Callithrix jacchus: one gene and its partner. The protein of the gene in region 1 interacts with the protein of each later gene in a pairwise test. Links are inferred from orthologs where the notes say so. Each region holds a gene or a part of one and is shown on either strand. Other genes may lie near its edges.

What was found.
Region 2: the proteins of CTNNAL1 (region 1) and RNF135 interact in binary tests that used the Homo sapiens proteins (3 or more experiments, as listed by UniProt). The two-hybrid records come from large-scale screens. The link is inferred for Callithrix jacchus from reciprocal best matches to the Homo sapiens genes CTNNAL1 and RNF135.

Annotation. Positions count from the first base shown.
Region 1 is NC_133502.1:157,345,419-157,349,331, reverse strand, and holds part of CTNNAL1 (alpha-catulin), read left to right. Parts: intron 1-1,220; coding exon 1,221-1,421; intron 1,422-3,645; coding exon 3,646-3,732; intron 3,733-3,913. UniProt on the Homo sapiens protein: May modulate the Rho pathway signaling by providing a scaffold for the Lbc Rho guanine nucleotide exchange factor (ARHGEF1).
Region 2 is NC_133506.1:101,969,551-101,974,206, reverse strand, and holds the start of RNF135 (E3 ubiquitin-protein ligase RNF135), read left to right. Parts: upstream 1-1,637; 5' UTR 1,638-1,663; coding exon 1,664-2,032; intron 2,033-4,210; coding exon 4,211-4,354; intron 4,355-4,656.

The DNA.
Region 1 (3,913 bases):
TTTTATGTTTTAATTGTTTAAATTCTCAAATTCTCAGATCCCCATTGTAAATTCCATACCTTTCTATTATCCATATTCTTTCCTAGCTTAAATACAAGTTTCTGTGTACCTAGGATAGAAAACTTGTGTACCTGAAAACTTGGGCCAAGAGGAGGAGGGGAAGCAAGGACTCTTCTATGGCGTCTTGACCTTCCCAAACTTTGGTATTCTCATGGATCATGTTAAAATGGGTCACGCATAAGGATTAATTAAAATAACTTGTGAATGGACTTTAAAGTGTTAAACAGATGTAAGCTATCCTTATCATCACATTCATTGTGACCGTAATCATGATCATTACCGTTTGTTGCCTCTTGGTCCAAGTTGTCTGTGTGATATATTTCATGCACTGTAGAGTTTTATATGGTTGAAATGGGGTGGTGCATTTAGAAAGCTGAGAGAGAAAGACTGCACATGTGAACATGTGTTCATCACATAGTCAAGAGTCACAACTCCAAACAGGGTGGCTGGAGTGAAAGGTTATTAGGGGATTCAGGGGGTGAGATGGACTGTTAGAGGGTATATAAAGACAGGCCATAGAGGATTTTGTGCTATGCCAGAGAAGTTTGGGCTTGATTCTCTATAGATGGTGAGGAGCTATTAGAGGGAGGTGGCAATATCAGATGCTGGTAGAGCATGTTTGGGTCAGTAAGGTGCTACTGGGGACTTAAAATACAGGGAGACCAGTTAGGTGATGAGGAGAGTCTTCGTTGAATTAATGAAGGAAAAATGGATGCCTTCCCCAGTCCTTCTCACACCCCACATCTTCCACACCATCCTTCCCCCTGGGCTCAGCACATTTCATATTTGGGTGTAACATATATTCCAGGACTTTGCCTAGGTATTTTCTCAGATGCAAATCTTTTACCTGGAGGCTGGTTCATTTTTCCTACTGGTTGCTACAGGATGATCCTCTTTCTGCCTTAGCATTCACTGATCTTATAGGAATGTCATTGTATTAATTCTGTACAAATTATGCTTTGCATGGATATTGAAGGCTTTTGTGCAATGTGCCCTCCTGGGTTAGTGGACAATTTAGATATGTTTGGTGGCTGTATTTCTCCTCAACTTGGGAAATAAAATGCTAGTGTCTTCTTTGGCACTGTTAGAATTTACAGCCCATTTTGGTCAGGTGGGAATATTGACTCCCATGGATGGATGGATGTCCTTTTTGTTCTCAGATTAATATTGAAGCTCTTCGGGAGAATCTTTATTTTCAGTCCAAAGAGAACCTTTCTATGACATTGGAAGTCATCTTGGAGCGTACAGAGGACTTTACTGATTCTGCCTACACCAGCCATGAACACAGGGAACGGATCTTGGAACTGTCAACTCAGGCGAGAATGGAACTGCAGCAGTTAGTTTCTGTGTGGATTCAAGCTGTAAGAACTTTTTTAAAAATCAAAGTAAATCTTATATAATGGCTTTCCCGTAAAGTTTTGCAAGATATGGAAGCTGACATAATCATCAGGAGTATGAATTTGGTCCAGAATGGGACAGGATGTCTCATCCCTTTTCTCCCTCCTAGTTGGCCAAAATATCCTTTTTATCTAGCACTCACAGTACTTGACATTATTTCTAGGCCCGCTGATTCTTATTTTAGCCAATCTGGATCTATGCCTCTGGCCACTATCACTAGTTCACTCTGTTGTCCCCACTCTTACACCAAACTCACCGCTGGAAAATTCCTCCCCAAAATGCTTCTTCAGAGTGAAGAACAGAGGAGTAGACCCCCACCTAGAGGTTCTTGGGACCCAAGTCTGACTGCTGGAGCCATTCAGATGTACACAGCTCTTACCTCTGAAGACAGCTGATTTACAGACACAATGCTTTAGAAAACTTATTGGGGTATAGATGCAATGAAAACAAGGGTAGATCCAGCTGGCAGGTAAAAGATTTTTCACCCTTGCACAAATTCCTGGTCTAAAATTGGTGGGCGGCTGCTCTATGAGCTTTAAATGGGCTGCTGGTGTGCTTCAGAGGAGGTTATTTGGGCAAGAATGGCCAAGACTGATAGAAGAGGGACAGCATAGGAAGTGTGTACACAATCTCTTATAGCAGGTGGGTTGCAAAATGGAGAGACAGAGCACTGGGACATGTCTCTAGCATTATTTATTTCTGAGGCCCAGGCTATGTCAAAAAAGTATTTAACATGGCATACAATATGCAGCAGCAATAGTACAAATCTGGAAGTCATGTCTTTAGCAGTAAAGATGATGAAGGAGGGTGGATATGGCTGAGACTGAAACAAGAAGCAGCAGTTGATGTCCTTGTAAATAGATTAATTTATGAGTGAAAATTGATGTGTATCACAGATTTGTCAGATATTTTCTTGGCATCGCAATAGTGCACATGTTCATATTAACAGGGAATCTTGCGCTAGAGTGGTGTCAGAGACTTGAGCAACATTTTGTGTTTAGCTTGAATTATCTGTGTGTTACACAATCTGAAGTGTAGACTGCTTCAGCGTTAAATTTTAAGTCCAACACTCACTATAAAGAGTTTTTTGTGATGAAATACTCTATGCTGGGAATGTGATTCTATCAATACTCAAATTTGCAATTAGCGAATGTCATAAATTTAGCAAATTTACCCTGTGCATATTTCACAAGCACTCAAATCTCTGATCCTGCATGCTAGATGAATTTTTCATTCATTCATTTTTTTCAGCAGTTGTTACTGGTGCCTTTTATATGCCAAGCACCAGAAATCTAAAGATGAATAAGATAAAATCTTTGTCTGCAAGAATTTTACGGTGTAGAAACCTGTGGGAAGGGGTGAGAGAAGCACAAACAACTTTGTAAATATCTTAAGAGAAGGTGTAGACTATGCGTTGAGAGTGTTTGAAGGACAAATTTATATTTAGGGAGAGGACTCAACAAGGCTTCATGAAGTACTGATATTTAATTTTTATTTACTCATGCAAATAATCGAATATCTACTACCTACCATTTCCTATGCCAGGTACTGTGGATTTAGTGGTGTGCAGCATAGATGTGAACTCAGCTTTCGTGGCCTAGTGGGAAAGATAGACTTTAAAGACACAAAAAATAAAAAATTCCCAGATGGTTTGGACTGAAAAAAATAAATAAATATGTAATTGCAAGCTGGGATGATTACTGAGAGAAAAGATTAGAGTAAGAAGAGGGTCTGATTTAGATTGAGTAATCTGAAAAAGCCTTTCTGAGAAAAAGACATTTATGTAAGAACTTAAAGACAAGTAGGATTTTAATTTTTAAGTAGGTTAGGAGTGAAAGCATGGACATTCTAGGCCAAAAATAAAAGGTTAATTTTAGACTTGATGAATGTATTAAGGAAAATTAAATAGAAAATTAGATTTTAAAAGTTCACCTTTCAATACAATCCATAGGTTCACAGAAAAAACAAAACAAAACAGTTCACCTATTTATAATTAGCATTGAAGAATGTAACTAAACTGAAACTTTATTTTCCACTGTAACTTTAAACAGGAAAATTTTAAAAATCTGCTTTTATAGTTCACAGAATAATATTAAAATTTATTACAATTTATAGTTCAAGTAAAATTGAAATTAACAGATTCAAGAGATGCGGTAACATTACATATATACTTTTTCAAATTTTTAGCAAAGCAAGAAAACAAAAAGCATTGCTGAAGAACTGGAACTCAGTATACTGAAAATCAGTCACAGTCTTAATGAACTTAAGAAAGAGGTAAGTATAGTTTGAAATTTAGCCTCTTCTAATTCTTTGCTAATTTTCATGTTGTATGGGTGTATGAAATGCATTTGTATTAGTATGTCTCTGTGCCTACAAAATGATTTTAAAACTTTAAAAGTTTCCTTTAAGGCCAGGCATGGTGGCTCATGCCTGTGATTCCAGCACTGTGGGGAGG
Region 2 (4,656 bases), on another chromosome or scaffold:
TTCCAGTGTTGGAAATAACCACAAACATTTTTTTTTGTCCTCAGCTTCACGAGTAGCCGGGACTACAGGCATGCACCTAGAAGACTGACTTTGTTTTTTTTTGTTTTTGCTTATTTATTTTTTGAGACAAAAGTCTCGCTCTGTTACCCAGGCTGGAGTGCAGTGACATAATCTCAGCTCACTGCAACCTCCACCTCCCAGGTTCAAGTAATTCTCCTGCCTTAGCCTCCCGAGTAGCTGGGACTACAGGTAGGCGCCACCATAGTAGAGAAGGGGTTTTACCATATTGGCCAGGCTGGTCTAGAACTCCTGACCTTGTGATCTGCCCGCCTTGGCCTCCCAAAGTGCTGGGATTACAGGCGTGAGCCACCAAGCCTAATCTTGTTTTATTTTTAGTAGAGATGGGGGTTTGCTATGTTGGCCAGGCTGGTCTTGAACTCCTGACCTCAAGTGATCCAAAGGTCTGCTACAAACTTGTATTATCTGATACCTACTTTGAGCTCCGGTGAGAAGGGGTAAAGCATGAGGCATTAAAGCATGAGGCATTGTTAGTTCATTTCAACATATTGGGGAGTTGTGGGTTTTAGTCTCTGACGCCTCACTGTTACCATGCGAGCTTAGAAGTTCCATTACCTCTTTGGGTCATCTGGGAGGACTTGGTGCTCTTTTAGTTCTAACATTTTCTGCTTGCAATGCGCTTAGGACTGGAGTAGGAGGTGAGTGAGTGGGAGAACGCAAACGCCACAAACGCCAGGCGAGCCATCTCAGGAAAACACTTTTTAGTATTTTGTCCGCTTGTCTGTCGGGAAACGCGCTTACATCCCGCAGAGGGCAGTAAGGACACAGCGCGCAACTCTGCTTTATAACTGCGCGTTAAAAAGCCTTGAATGCGCGTCAGAATCATGTAGGGGAGGTTTTATAAAAACCCGTGCTCCGCCCGAGACAATGAAATCAGACTCCCTGCAAGCGGGACCCGAACATCAGCATTTTTGAAGACCCCCACCCCCACCCCCGCCGCCGCCACCGTGACTGTGCACCGATGATCTTTAATCCCCTGCTACTTGTTAGAGCAGCTACTTATTAGAGGATGACACCTCGCGGACTCATTCTTACAAATGAGCTGCTGAATGGACTCCTTTCCTCCCAAGAGTTGTCGGTGTTGCATCTTTTTGTTGATTGTGTGTGTGTGTGTGTTTTGCCTACAGCACCCGGTATTCTAAGGCGGTCTCCCATCCAAGTACCAACCAGGCCCGACCCTGCTTAGCTTCCAAGATCAGACGAGATCGGGCTCGTTCGTATTTATATTTTTTTAGCCTACGGAAGAAGACATCCAATGGCGCTGCATCTTAATGGGGGCACATCCAGCGAAAGGGAATCTTGGAGACATCTGCGGGTTCCTAGCGGCTGGCGGCAAGTGGGTTTCCGAGGGCAGGGGGCCGCCACCGAAGGTCAGCTCTGCCATTCGCGCTGGGTTGTGGAGGATCAAAGTCCGCTTTCAGCAGGACCGGAGGAAGGAGACTGGGTGGCCCCAAGGGAGGAGGGTAAGAGGCAACCGAGAAGAGGTGGAGGGCCGGGGGAAGAGGAAGGGCGAGGGAGGAGCCTGAGGAGATGCGGCCCACATTGGGCCGGCTAGACCCAGACGTCCGCGCCAAGCCTGGTCGCCATGGCGGGCCTGGGTCTGGGCCCGGGCCCTGCCGTCCCCGTGTGGCTGGCAGAGGACGACCTGGGCTGCATCATCTGCCAGGGGCTACTGGACTGGCCGGCCACGCTGCCCTGCGGCCACAGCTTCTGCCGCCGCTGCCTGGAGAGCCTGTGGGGCGCGCGGGCCGCGGGTGGCCGCTGGGCCTGCCCCACCTGCCGGGAGGTCGCCGCGCAGCAGCCGCGGCTGCGGAAGAACACGCTGCTGCAGGACCTGGCCGACAAGTACCGCCGCGCCGCGCGCGAGCTGGAGGCGGGCCCCGACTCGGCCCCCCGCCCCGGCCCCGGCTCCTGCCCGGCCCCCAGGCCCCGGCGCCGCGGGTCACTGCCGCGGGTAGGGAGGCCGAGCTCGCAGGTCCCCTCGCGCCCCCGGGCTGCCCCCCTTTCCCTCTGGCTCGAACCCCCTTCCTCAGCCGTTCTACTTTTACGTTCCTTTTCTCAATCTAACAGTCGACTCCCGCTCTTAGGAGGAACTTTGAAGTTCAGAAAAGTATGAAGAAGCAGGAAAAAAAAATTCCCCATCTCCCGAAAGCCTGTCAACCTAGCAGCTATACGCCTTGGCATATTTCAACTTCTTCCCAATCTATTTGCGGTCTCTTTCTCTCAAAATTGTAAAATTGTGGTAAGATGCATGTAACATTAAAACTTGCCATTTTTGCCTTTTTTTTTTTTTTTTGGAGATGGAGTCTCTCTGTCACCATGCTGGAGTGCAATGGCGCGATCTGCTCACTGCAACTCCCGCCTCCCGGGTTCAAGCGATACTTCTGTCTCAGCCTCCCGAGGAGCTGGGATTACAGGCGCACACCACCGTGCCCAGCTACTTTCTTTTCTATTTTAGTAGAGACAGGGTTTCACCGTGTCACCCAGGCTGGTCTCGAACTCCTGAACTCAGGCAATCCTCCCGCCTCCGCCTCCCAAAGTGCTAGGATTATAGATGTGAGCCACGGGACCGGCCTCATTTTAACCATTTTTAAGTGTATAATTCAGTGACAAATTAGTTACATTTCCAATGTGCAAATAACACTGCTGTTTGCAAAACCCTTTGATGACCATAAACAGAAACTCTGTACCCATTAAGTAGTAACTCCTCATTTTCCCTCCCTCTAGCCCCCGCTCACATCTAAGCTACTTTCTGTATCTGAGTCTTCCTGTTCTGGTTATTCATATAACTGGAATCATTCAATGTCTGTGCCTTGTTTCTTTCACTTAGCATGGTGTTTTCAAGGTTCATTCATGTTGTAGCATGTGTCAGACTTTATTCCTTTTATGGAGGCTGAATAATATTCCACTGGGTGGATGTGCCACATTATTTATTTGTTTTTTTGAGATGAAGTCTCGCCCTGTCACCAGTGGCACCATCTTGGCTCTGCAACCTCTGCCTCCCGGGTTCAAGGGATTCGCCTGCCTCAGTCTCCCGAGTAACTGGGACTACAGGTGCGCACCACCATACCCAGCTAATTTTCGTATTTTTAGTAGAGACGGGGTTTCACCATGTTGGCCAGGGTGATCTCGATCTCTTGACCTCGTGATCCGCCTGCCTCAGTCTCGCAAAGTGTTGGGATTACAGGCCTAAGTCACTGAGCCCGGCCACATTTTAAAAAATCCATTCATCCATCCTTGGACATTTGAATTGTCTCCACCTTTTGGTTACTTGTGAATAATGCTGCAGGGAACATTGTTGTGCAAGTATCTGAGTCCCTATTTTCCATTCTTTTGGTATATACCTAGGAGTGTGATTGCTGGATCATATGGTAATTTTATGTTTAACTTATTGAGGAATGGTTTGTTTTCCACAAGGCCTGTACCTTTTTGCATTCCCACCAGCCATGTACAAGGGTTCCAATTTTTCCACATTCTGCTGACTACTTATTTTCTGGATGTTTTTGTTTTTCTTTTTTAGCATAGCTTTCACACCTTGGTATAGGCATGAAGTGACATTTCATTGTGATTTTTTTTTTTTTTTGAGATGGAGTCTCACTCCAGGCTGGAGTGAAGTGGCACAGATCTTGGCTCACTACAACTTCTGCCTCCTGGGTTCAAGCAATTCTCCCTGCCTCAGCCTCTAGAGTAGCTGGGAGTACAGGCACCTGCCACCACACCTGGCTGATTTTTGTATCATTGCCAAATCAAGTGTCATACATTTTGCCCTGTGTTTTCTTCTAAGAGCTGTATTATTTTAGGTCTTACATTTAGGTCTTTGATCCATTTTGAGTTAGTTTTTGTGTGTAATGTTAGGTAAGGATCCAACCTTATTCTTTTGTGTGTAGATATCCAGTTTTCACAATACAATGTGTTGAAAAACTGTCCTATCCCCATTGAATGGTCTTGGCACCTTTGTCAAAAATCATTTAATCATATATATGAGAGTTTATTTCTGGGTACTCTATTCTATTCCATTGGTCTATATGTCTGTTTTCATGCCATTACCACAGCATTTATGACTCCCTCTGTCTATAGTGGTTCCTGGGTCCAGTTTTATAGAACCCATGAACTGAACTTTGCTGTTTTAAAGGTGGAAGTACAGAAGAGCATCACAGAAGTTGGTCAGGAGCTGACAGAGCTGGGGGAACGGCTTGTAGATATTGTCAGGAGCCTGCAGAGTCAGAGGCCCCTATCAGAATCTGGACCAGACAATGAACTGAGCATCCTGGGCAAGGTAGGCTCCGCTGGGAGAGGAAAGGATCTGGGAGGTGAAAGGGCTAGGGATTGCTTTCAACTGAAACGACATGAATGTGTTTGAAGCTGAAGGATGCAGTAAGTCTCAACCTTTTATTGTTCTCTTCACTACCAGACATGGATGATTGGATATTTGGTATGCTTGAGGTAAGGTTCGGAAGCTTTGAGTGGGCTAGGATCACTCCACTTAACCAGCTATCTCTAAGATCACCAATGACCTCTGTGTAAACCCTGTAGACATTCTGATGCCTGTCTTCACTGACCTTTCAGCAGCCTTTGACA